Linked DNA regions of Canis lupus familiaris. The protein of the gene in region 2 purifies or fractionates together with the protein of the main gene of each other region. This does not show direct contact. Links are inferred from orthologs where the notes say so. Each region holds a gene or a part of one and is shown on either strand. Other genes may lie near its edges.

Region 1 (3,815 bases), on a different chromosome or scaffold from region 2:
TATTCCGTATCTTGTTTTAGGTAGTATTTACATTGCTGTACGTAAGATTAAAACAAAACAAACACTTAAGGTATGCCTATGTTGTACAAAAATTATACTTTAACAAAACAGAACCTTAATTCTTCATCCACCTCCCTCACTAAAAAAAAACACATATAGTAGATATAGATTTCATTACCAAGAAGCTAAAATGGGCTCTTGAAACACACGTTGAGAAATTAAAAGTAAAATAAAATCACTGAGAAAATAAACACAAATCCAATGAGAACACGTGCAACTCAATTTATACTTATGCTTAAATTCCCTAGTGCATCCTTTATAATGTAAACATTTGGTTATGGATTTGATGTTTCTGTCGTTGCAAAATTTACTTCTATTCAAAAACAAAATAGTTATTTTATATTTTAAAAATTAAGTTTCTTAAGTCAGTTGCTAATTGCAGCTAAGGAAATCTCATAAAACCTATAGTTAATATGTATTAAATGCAGGTTATGATACTCACTTTCAATTTTAAAAAGGGAAAAGATTTCTCTTTTCATTTCTGAAATGCCTCCCCAAATAATTTTTTAAAATACTCATAGCTCAATTTGGGAGAAATGAAAGGTTACAGCCCATAGTGGCTTAACTGTGGTTTTATAAGACAGGGATATGAATGGGATGGGATGAATGTTTTATTTAGAAAAAAGAAACAACAGGCAGAAGGAAAAAAAAAAACACTTCAAAATGGAGAAAGTAGTAGCCTGTATTGCACAGAGATAAGAACTATAAAGGAGGTTTCATATCCTCCACCCTAATTCCAATCAACTGGTAGGAGCTACTTTAAATGCTGGGGAAACTAAGAAGGATTCCGAGGAGGCTGTGTTTTGGTTGAAGGGGAAAGGGGCCAGGCCTGAGAAGCTACCGATGTGGATGAAGGCAAAAGGACTCAGGAGGCTTGCATGGCATTACCCACCCCTTTCTTAAGGGGAGTGGGCACAATTCAGCTGCCAGATACTCCATTACCTGGAACTTTAATAAATAAAGCAGAATGCAGTAGGTTACAAATCAGCTGGGAAACCCTTAATTACAGATATATTTTTAAATATTCTAAAGAAAATCATTCGATAATGAAAGTTGAGACTCCACAGCTACATGAAGGTGAATTAAAGCAAACAACCATCATCTTCAGTTCACTGGAAATGACACCTGGTGGCAGCATCGCTAAAATGCAAGGGCAAAATAAAACTTGGAGCAAAAATAAAATCTCCTAAATATTAAGAATGCAAAACTAGAATCACAAGGTGTCTGGTATACATATCACATACAACCAGATATTTATATATGACATTCATTTTATACTAGAAATAAGCTAGATCACAACATACGATTATTTTCAGATACATAAAACAAAAAGTAAATCAAGATGCAAAATTGCTATCATTTACTCTGTTAAACTGACATCACTTAAGGATCTGAAAAAACTTCTCAGCTAAAAGAAGATTACTAAAACAAACTTAGTGATTTGAAAACCTCACTTTGAGTATTTTGGAGATTTGACATTCCTGCTATCCATGCCACTGACCTAAGAATAAGAATCTCCAGGAATCTATCCAATGACTCTCTAAGTCAGTTCATATTCTTGTCACAAATTGCCTAAGTCAAAAATCCCTTCCCCCCCAACTGAAAAAAAAAAAAAAAAAAAGGCGATTTACTGCAATTATGACCTCTGTTGCTCACAGCTGCGGTACTGTTAACTGGGACTTCATCACAGACCCACACTGTGAGGAAAAAAGGTCAAACTGACGGATTCTACTGCCGCAATGAGGCATGGTGGTTTGATTGGCTGTCTCACAAAGCAGACACAGAGTTTTCAAAATGAAGCCTTAACTCTGACCATGAAACAAACACTGGTCCAAACAGACACATCAGGTCAAACTACACCCACCATCTAAAGAAGCATACACCAACGTTATTAATCAAACTGTTAACTGAAACACGGATTTCAAGTGATGCAAGATGAGCTACAGAAAGAAAGACTGCTCTCGTAAAATAAGTAACAAAGACTCAAAAAACAAAGTTTCCCTATTTTACCCGTTTTCCATCTTTGGTCTTCTTTAAGTTCCAAGTGCCATCTGGCAACTTCTCAAAGAACTTTCTTGCTTTTGGTGCTTGGTCAAGAATATGAGCAGGTGGGATACTCAGAACTTCCACTATTTTATTCATCTGATCTACCTGTATTGAAAATAAAAATTAAAAAGCCTGTAACTTCCACTGTAGTACATCCTAATTCTGTTCATCCATCCATCCATTCATTCATTCCTGAATTATAAACAAACAGAGTACCTCCCGAGTGTCAGGCACACCTCCAGGCACTGAGCATACAATCATGAACAAAAGAGAAACTCCCTGTCGCCCTGCAGTCCCCTCATGCCATACAGGACAGGGCAGACAATTAAACACATAAAATCAAATAACCATCAAAAAAAAAAAAAAAATCCCAGAGGCTTAATAAAGTGTGGACCGAATAAAGTATATTTTTAAGCACAGATTCATTCGCTCAAATACAAGTGTCTACTACATGCTAGAAACCATACACAGAGCAATAAATAAAACAGATAAAAATCACTGCCAAAAAGTTGGTATCATAGAGGGAAGAGATCAATAATAGACAAATACACAGTTAAATATATTTTGTCCATGGCAACTAAGACCTATGGAGGAAGGAAAAGGGATGGAGAGTGACAGGGTACTGTCATCCACTGGTACTAGAGGATCACGGAGAAGACGGAGGAGCTGAAGATCTGTGGCCAGGAGGGAAGAGCCACATGCCCCCTGGGGAAGGGCCTCTAAGGCACAGGGAAGAACTAATGCAAAGGCCTCAGTTAGTCTGGGCCTGTGGCTACTGTTTCCAAGGGACCACAGAGTAAGGCTGTGTGCTGGCAGAGAAAGTAAGGGAGGCAACACTGCACAGAGGAGGCAGGAGGTAGAGGGAGTGGGGGGATTTTCGAGCCACTCAAAGGACTTGGATTTTACAATGAATAAAATGGAAGCCACTGAAGTTTCAGGTGATTTAAGAGAATATAATTGTATTTTATAACGAAACATTATCAAACACACACTATGCCAGTTACTGCCCATGAGTGGCTCACAACCTATAGTTCGAGTGAATTAGCAAGATGGAAGGGACAGGTTTCTGATACGATACTAACAGCTATATAACCCAGTATAAGTAAGTCATTAAATTTCGTTGGCCATTCTCTCTTATTTATAAATGCATGGACTGATCAAGATCTGTAATGCGTAACTTTTCTTTAAAAAATGAAAACTTCACAAGGTTTTAAACCAATGAAAGGCCAATTCCTCTGACTGCCAGAGAGTATGACTCTCCCATGCCCTCCTAGGCACTGGCTCTGATCCCCAAACATCTTCTAAGAACATAGACTGAAAACCCATGAATTAGAATAATTACACATAGTGTGTAGCTCTAAAATTCTATCATCTTAATTCACCCTCAATTATTCAGATCAAATACCCAATTTAAGGCTACTGGTCATCACTTCTTTATTCCAAATCATATTCTCAAAATTTACACAGTGATGTTTACATTGTTTTCAGAGTGTCCCTCAGGCCTTTTATCATTATTTTTGTTATACTGAAAATCTGTAAAATATAAATCAAAAGGCTTAACATTTTCTAAACTAACTTACTGTTCTTACCAGCAAATTAAAAAATCTCACCCCCATCTCAAAATCCTAAATTCCCCATTAGGATAATTGAAAAAATTTAAAAATGGATAAATGCAAATTAAAGACTGACCCAACATTTGAATATTTAAA
Region 2 (4,511 bases):
CCTGGCATACTTCATTTCTCTTATCCTATTTCTTTTTCTCTACAGCACTTCTTATTAAAATTAGATAGATATATAAATGTATGGATAGTTTTTTTTCCTTTTTTTGTTGACTGCCTCCCTGGCCTAGAAGAAAAGTTTCATAAAGGCAGCAGCTTGGCCTCTTTTGTTCATTGCCTTACATCCAGTACCTTTAACAGTGCCTGGCACATAGAAGACACTCATTTGCTGAATGAATAAAAATGTGAGTGAACAGAACAGAAGAATCCATAGCTAAGCGCTCTTTACACTATTTATAGGTTTAAATAATAATTTAATTTAAATAATTTAACTAATATAATAATTAAATTTAAATTAAAAATAATTTTACTTTAATTTAAATTGATAATCAGACAGGAAACAGAGACAAGCATTTGTTCTTATTGGTAATGGCACAAAATTGAACCCTGTCATTAAATCCCTATGAAAAAATGGACAGAACCAAAAGAATAACTAGTTTCTTCTGTAGACAATGCCTCCTAACAAGGTTGGTATTTCTTATGATATACCTCATCATTAACCTACCCACCTAGTACCTCTCTAAGCTTCAGTTTTCTCATCTGTGAAATGGAAAAAGATTGACTGATACAATGTATGGAGAGCATTTAGCACAGAACTGGGACTCCGTAAATGGATGCTGCTATGATTATTAGTAATGCTGAAACTGAGGTAACCATCTATATGAGACACTACATCATCTTTCTACTCTCTAGAACTGTTTATCCCAGACTTTAAAAATGTGAACTGGAAGAATGACATGTTAAAGACATACAGGATGCTTTATTATCTATCACATAGTTGGGCCTACATTTGAAAGACACCCTATAATAACAATGTTCCATATCAGAGCCTAGCCTTGTCCTTGGCTGACCCTTTGACAGCCCAGAATCTTGTTGCATCCATTTTTGCATCACTTATTACACCTAGACACTTAGAGTATAAGTGCTAGTATTTCCTGGCAGGAACTAAGCAGGGGTGCTCTACTGGCAGGGGAGGGGGGGGGGGCGGTTAGCAGTATAGGAAAAAGAGAGCATAGCAGTAAAACTTCTAATAATATTCCTGTTTTCTGACTTGCCCCTTGAACCATGGAAATCTCTGTCCTGTACGCTAAATTAATAGATGAGCTTCTGATTTCCTTTTCTTTTCTTTTCTTTTTTTTTAAGATTTATTTATTTATTTGAAAGAGAGAGCAAGAAAGCATAAGCATGGGGGAACAGTAGAGGAAGAGGGAAACGCAGGCTCCCCATCAAGCAGGAAGGCTGATGCGGGGCTCAATCCCAGGACCCCGGGATCATGACCTGAGCCTAAGGCAGACACCCAACCAGCTAAGCCACCCAGGAGGCCCTGATTCCTTTTTCTCCACTAGAATTCCGTCCATATGCCTATCTTCTGGGTCAATTAACTACATAAAAAGTGACCCAATAGTTTCACGTCACATGAAAAGGAAAAGGCTTGACCTGAATAAACTCTACAGTCTGCCACTTAGGAATACTGCAAAGATCCTGTAGGTTTTTCATTGATGGGAGATTTCCTTGCAATCTTTTGCAAAAGGCTTCTGTAGAAAGACACACTGGTGGGTTAACTAAGCTGGGGAGCTACATTCAAAAGGTAAGGGTTAAAACCCATGTGGCATAAATCTCCAGTTACAATATTCTTTCTGCTGTTATGTGTATGACCGTGTATTCAAGTCTTTTGTTATGAATGCATAATTATATTCATAGTCATAAATATAAAATATGATAACTATCACTACTAATTTTGCCCAATTACAGGCTTCCAAGTTCGGGTGTGAAAGTCAAAGCAAGTCTCCTAGGTTAAGCCTGGGTACTATCTTACTAAGAGATCTAACTTTATTTGTTAATACTACAGCCCGATACTACTTGTTAGTACTAAAAAGGATCATCTCAACCACTTCTAGTGACGGGTGGGCATACATTTCCACAATAACCTGGGAACAATTCCAAATGGAGAATGAAAAGAAAACCAAAAGAGTTCACTACCGACTCCTCGAACACTTGTCGAAGGGACAGGTTCGAGGCCTCAGTGAATGAAGGGTGAGTTGTCTAAAATGCATTCTTTTATTATGGCGCTTTCCGAACAGTACTGTTTTCCTCAACAGGGCTGTGCCACGCTCATGATCAGAAGCTGTTTTATTTCTTTGTATTTCCAGCGTTTAACATTGTGCCCGTCCCTTTGCTGGGGCTCGAACGATTGAATCCCAAAGCGCCCACTCACGAGGCAGGCCCTACACCTGGCACTGTGGCTCAGCAATCAAGCAGATCCGGAACGGCAGGAGCGCGGTCTGGCCGCTCCTCCTCACCTCCACGTCCCAGCACTGCGAGCAGGGTTAGGGAAGCGCACCATCCATCCGACCACCTCCCACTGTCCCGGCGGAGTGAAACCGGCGGTCCGACCGGCCCGGGCTGCTGCGGACCTCCAGGCACAGCACACGATCCTCTCCGCTTCCTTCGGCAGAGAGGACCCAGGTACTGTCCTCGCCTCCAAACCCAACCCTGACGCCGACCCTCTCCCCAACCTGGCCCCACAAACGCTCCATTCCCCAACCCGACCCAGCCTGGGCGCCCAGAGCTTCCCAGAGGGGAGGCGCCGCGGTGCACTGTGGGAGTCGTAGTTCATCGGTGAGTTCCGCACGCCTACGGCCCTGCGGACGGGACTCCCGCTCCCAGAAGCCCCCGCGTGGGCGCCTCGCTCAGTCCGGCCGCCTCACCTGTTCTACGGACGTGACTGTTTCCACCGAGTCGTCCTGCAACCGCTCCCGCGCGTGCTCGGGCCTCAGACTGTACAGCGGCTCTGACCAGACAGGGGAGGAAGATGGAGGGCAATAGTAGGTGAAGGAACTCGGAGAAGCCATGGTCAGGAGAGCAGCGGGCGGTGTATAGGACTCCCTTCGTCAAACAACAACGCGCATTGAAACTCAAGCGGGCTAAAGCGCTACGGAGAGCGGGTCGAGTCAAAAAGACTTTGAACGCGAATCGCTCTCCACCCACCCACACAGCTTCGGGGAGAGGGTTACTGGGATGCTGCTGCCCCCCATTGGGCAAGAGGAGCTGCTGCAGGAGGCTCAGCTGCCTGGAGCGCACGGAAGGACGGATGGGTCTCTCCAATCTGGATTTCATTTCCGAGAGATGGTGTAGGACTCCTCGGGTCGTTGTGCAAATTAACACACGCAGGCACGCACACTTCGACATTGTGCTAATTGTCGCCTAATTGCAATGGCAGTCGTTCGCAGTTTCGGATGCCCAAGAACTGTGAAACTCAAAAAACATTTTTTGACACATCTCCTGACTCAGACACACTATCGCTAATAGAATTACTGTGCACCTTTGGGTGCGTGGGAGCCGCCCAGGAGAAACCGTCGGCTTCTCAACGAGGGAATTGCCTTCTCGGTACTCAGGGATGGAGGGAAGAGGCATTGTAGTTGTCTCCTATTGTCCCCCAGGGAGCCACAATACAGTAGTAGGGTCTAAAGCGCAGTAAAAGGAACAAGTATAAGTGAAACGACAAAGGAAATACTCGTTTATCAGGCAGTTTTTTAGGGAGCACCTACTATATGTCAAACAGTGTGCTAGGCCCTAGGTATACAAAAGTGAACAAAACAAACAAGCTCCCTGCCCCTAGGAACCTTATAGTCTAGTGGAATTGACAGAATTAATGAATGAACGCAATAATATATGAAGACTTGCCATAAATGGTATGAAAGAAAATAACAGTCTACAAGAGACTGAAAGGAGGACTGGACTAATTAGATTGGGTGGTCAGGCCAAGCCCCTCTGAGGCCTCTCTTAGACCCAAAGGATGACAAGGAGCCATCCACATGAACAATATGGGGAAGAGCTCCCTAGAGGAAGCAACAGTAAGTCTGAGAGAACACTGCCACAAATATACTTATGTATGTGTTTTAATTATAATGATTTAATCTAAAGGTATTCAGAATAAACAATTCTTATTGAGTAGGATTAATCATCATATATGCCTCCATAAAAATGTTAAAGTTGTGATTTTAGGGAAATCCTGTCTTTGGACAAGGAATAGAAGAGACTCTCTTTCAGGGTCCTGAAAGGACTACGTCAAAATTATAATGCCAAGAATTGGGGGAGGGGGCAGAAGATACTGTAATAACAGGCCTTCCAGATAGACTTGGCCCTGTCCAGACTTGGACAACTTCCTGCTCAGGGTATTTTACTCTGTTGCCCCTCAATTCCAAGTCACACGTCTGGAACCCAAGGAACTGTGGTGTGGCATTTCACAACCAACCATTCCCCTTTTATCCGTCTCTGGTGTTAAATAGAAGCTCTCAGAAAGATCCTAAAGATGAGGCTGGGATGGCCTAAAGTCCTCAGACAAGTAAACACTATCACCATGTTCATTGCAGTGGTACTGTTGCTAAGTTAAGTCCTGTAGGTGGCAAAATGTTTCTAAATCTGAGAATAAATGACCCTGTGTGGGTTAGGGTC

What was found.
Region 1: the proteins of FNTB (region 2) and DYRK1A purify together in Homo sapiens (affinity purification with mass spectrometry; 3 studies listed by BioGRID, counting the BioPlex papers as one). This does not show direct contact. The link is inferred for Canis lupus familiaris from reciprocal best matches to the Homo sapiens genes FNTB and DYRK1A.

Annotation. Positions count from the first base shown.
Region 1 is NC_049252.1:32,311,554-32,315,368, reverse strand, and holds part of DYRK1A (dual specificity tyrosine-phosphorylation-regulated kinase 1A), read right to left. Parts: intron 2,212-3,815; coding exon 2,071-2,211; intron 1-2,070. UniProt on the Homo sapiens protein: Dual-specificity kinase which possesses both serine/threonine and tyrosine kinase activities. Exhibits a substrate preference for proline at position P+1 and arginine at position P-3.
Region 2 is NC_049229.1:39,638,254-39,642,764, reverse strand, and holds the start of FNTB (protein farnesyltransferase subunit beta), read right to left. Parts: upstream 3,003-4,511; 5' UTR 2,909-3,002; coding exon 2,765-2,908; exon of another isoform or gene 2,757-2,764; intron 1-2,756. UniProt on the Homo sapiens protein: Essential subunit of the farnesyltransferase complex. Catalyzes the transfer of a farnesyl moiety from farnesyl diphosphate to a cysteine at the fourth position from the C-terminus of several proteins having the C-terminal sequence Cys-aliphatic-aliphatic-X.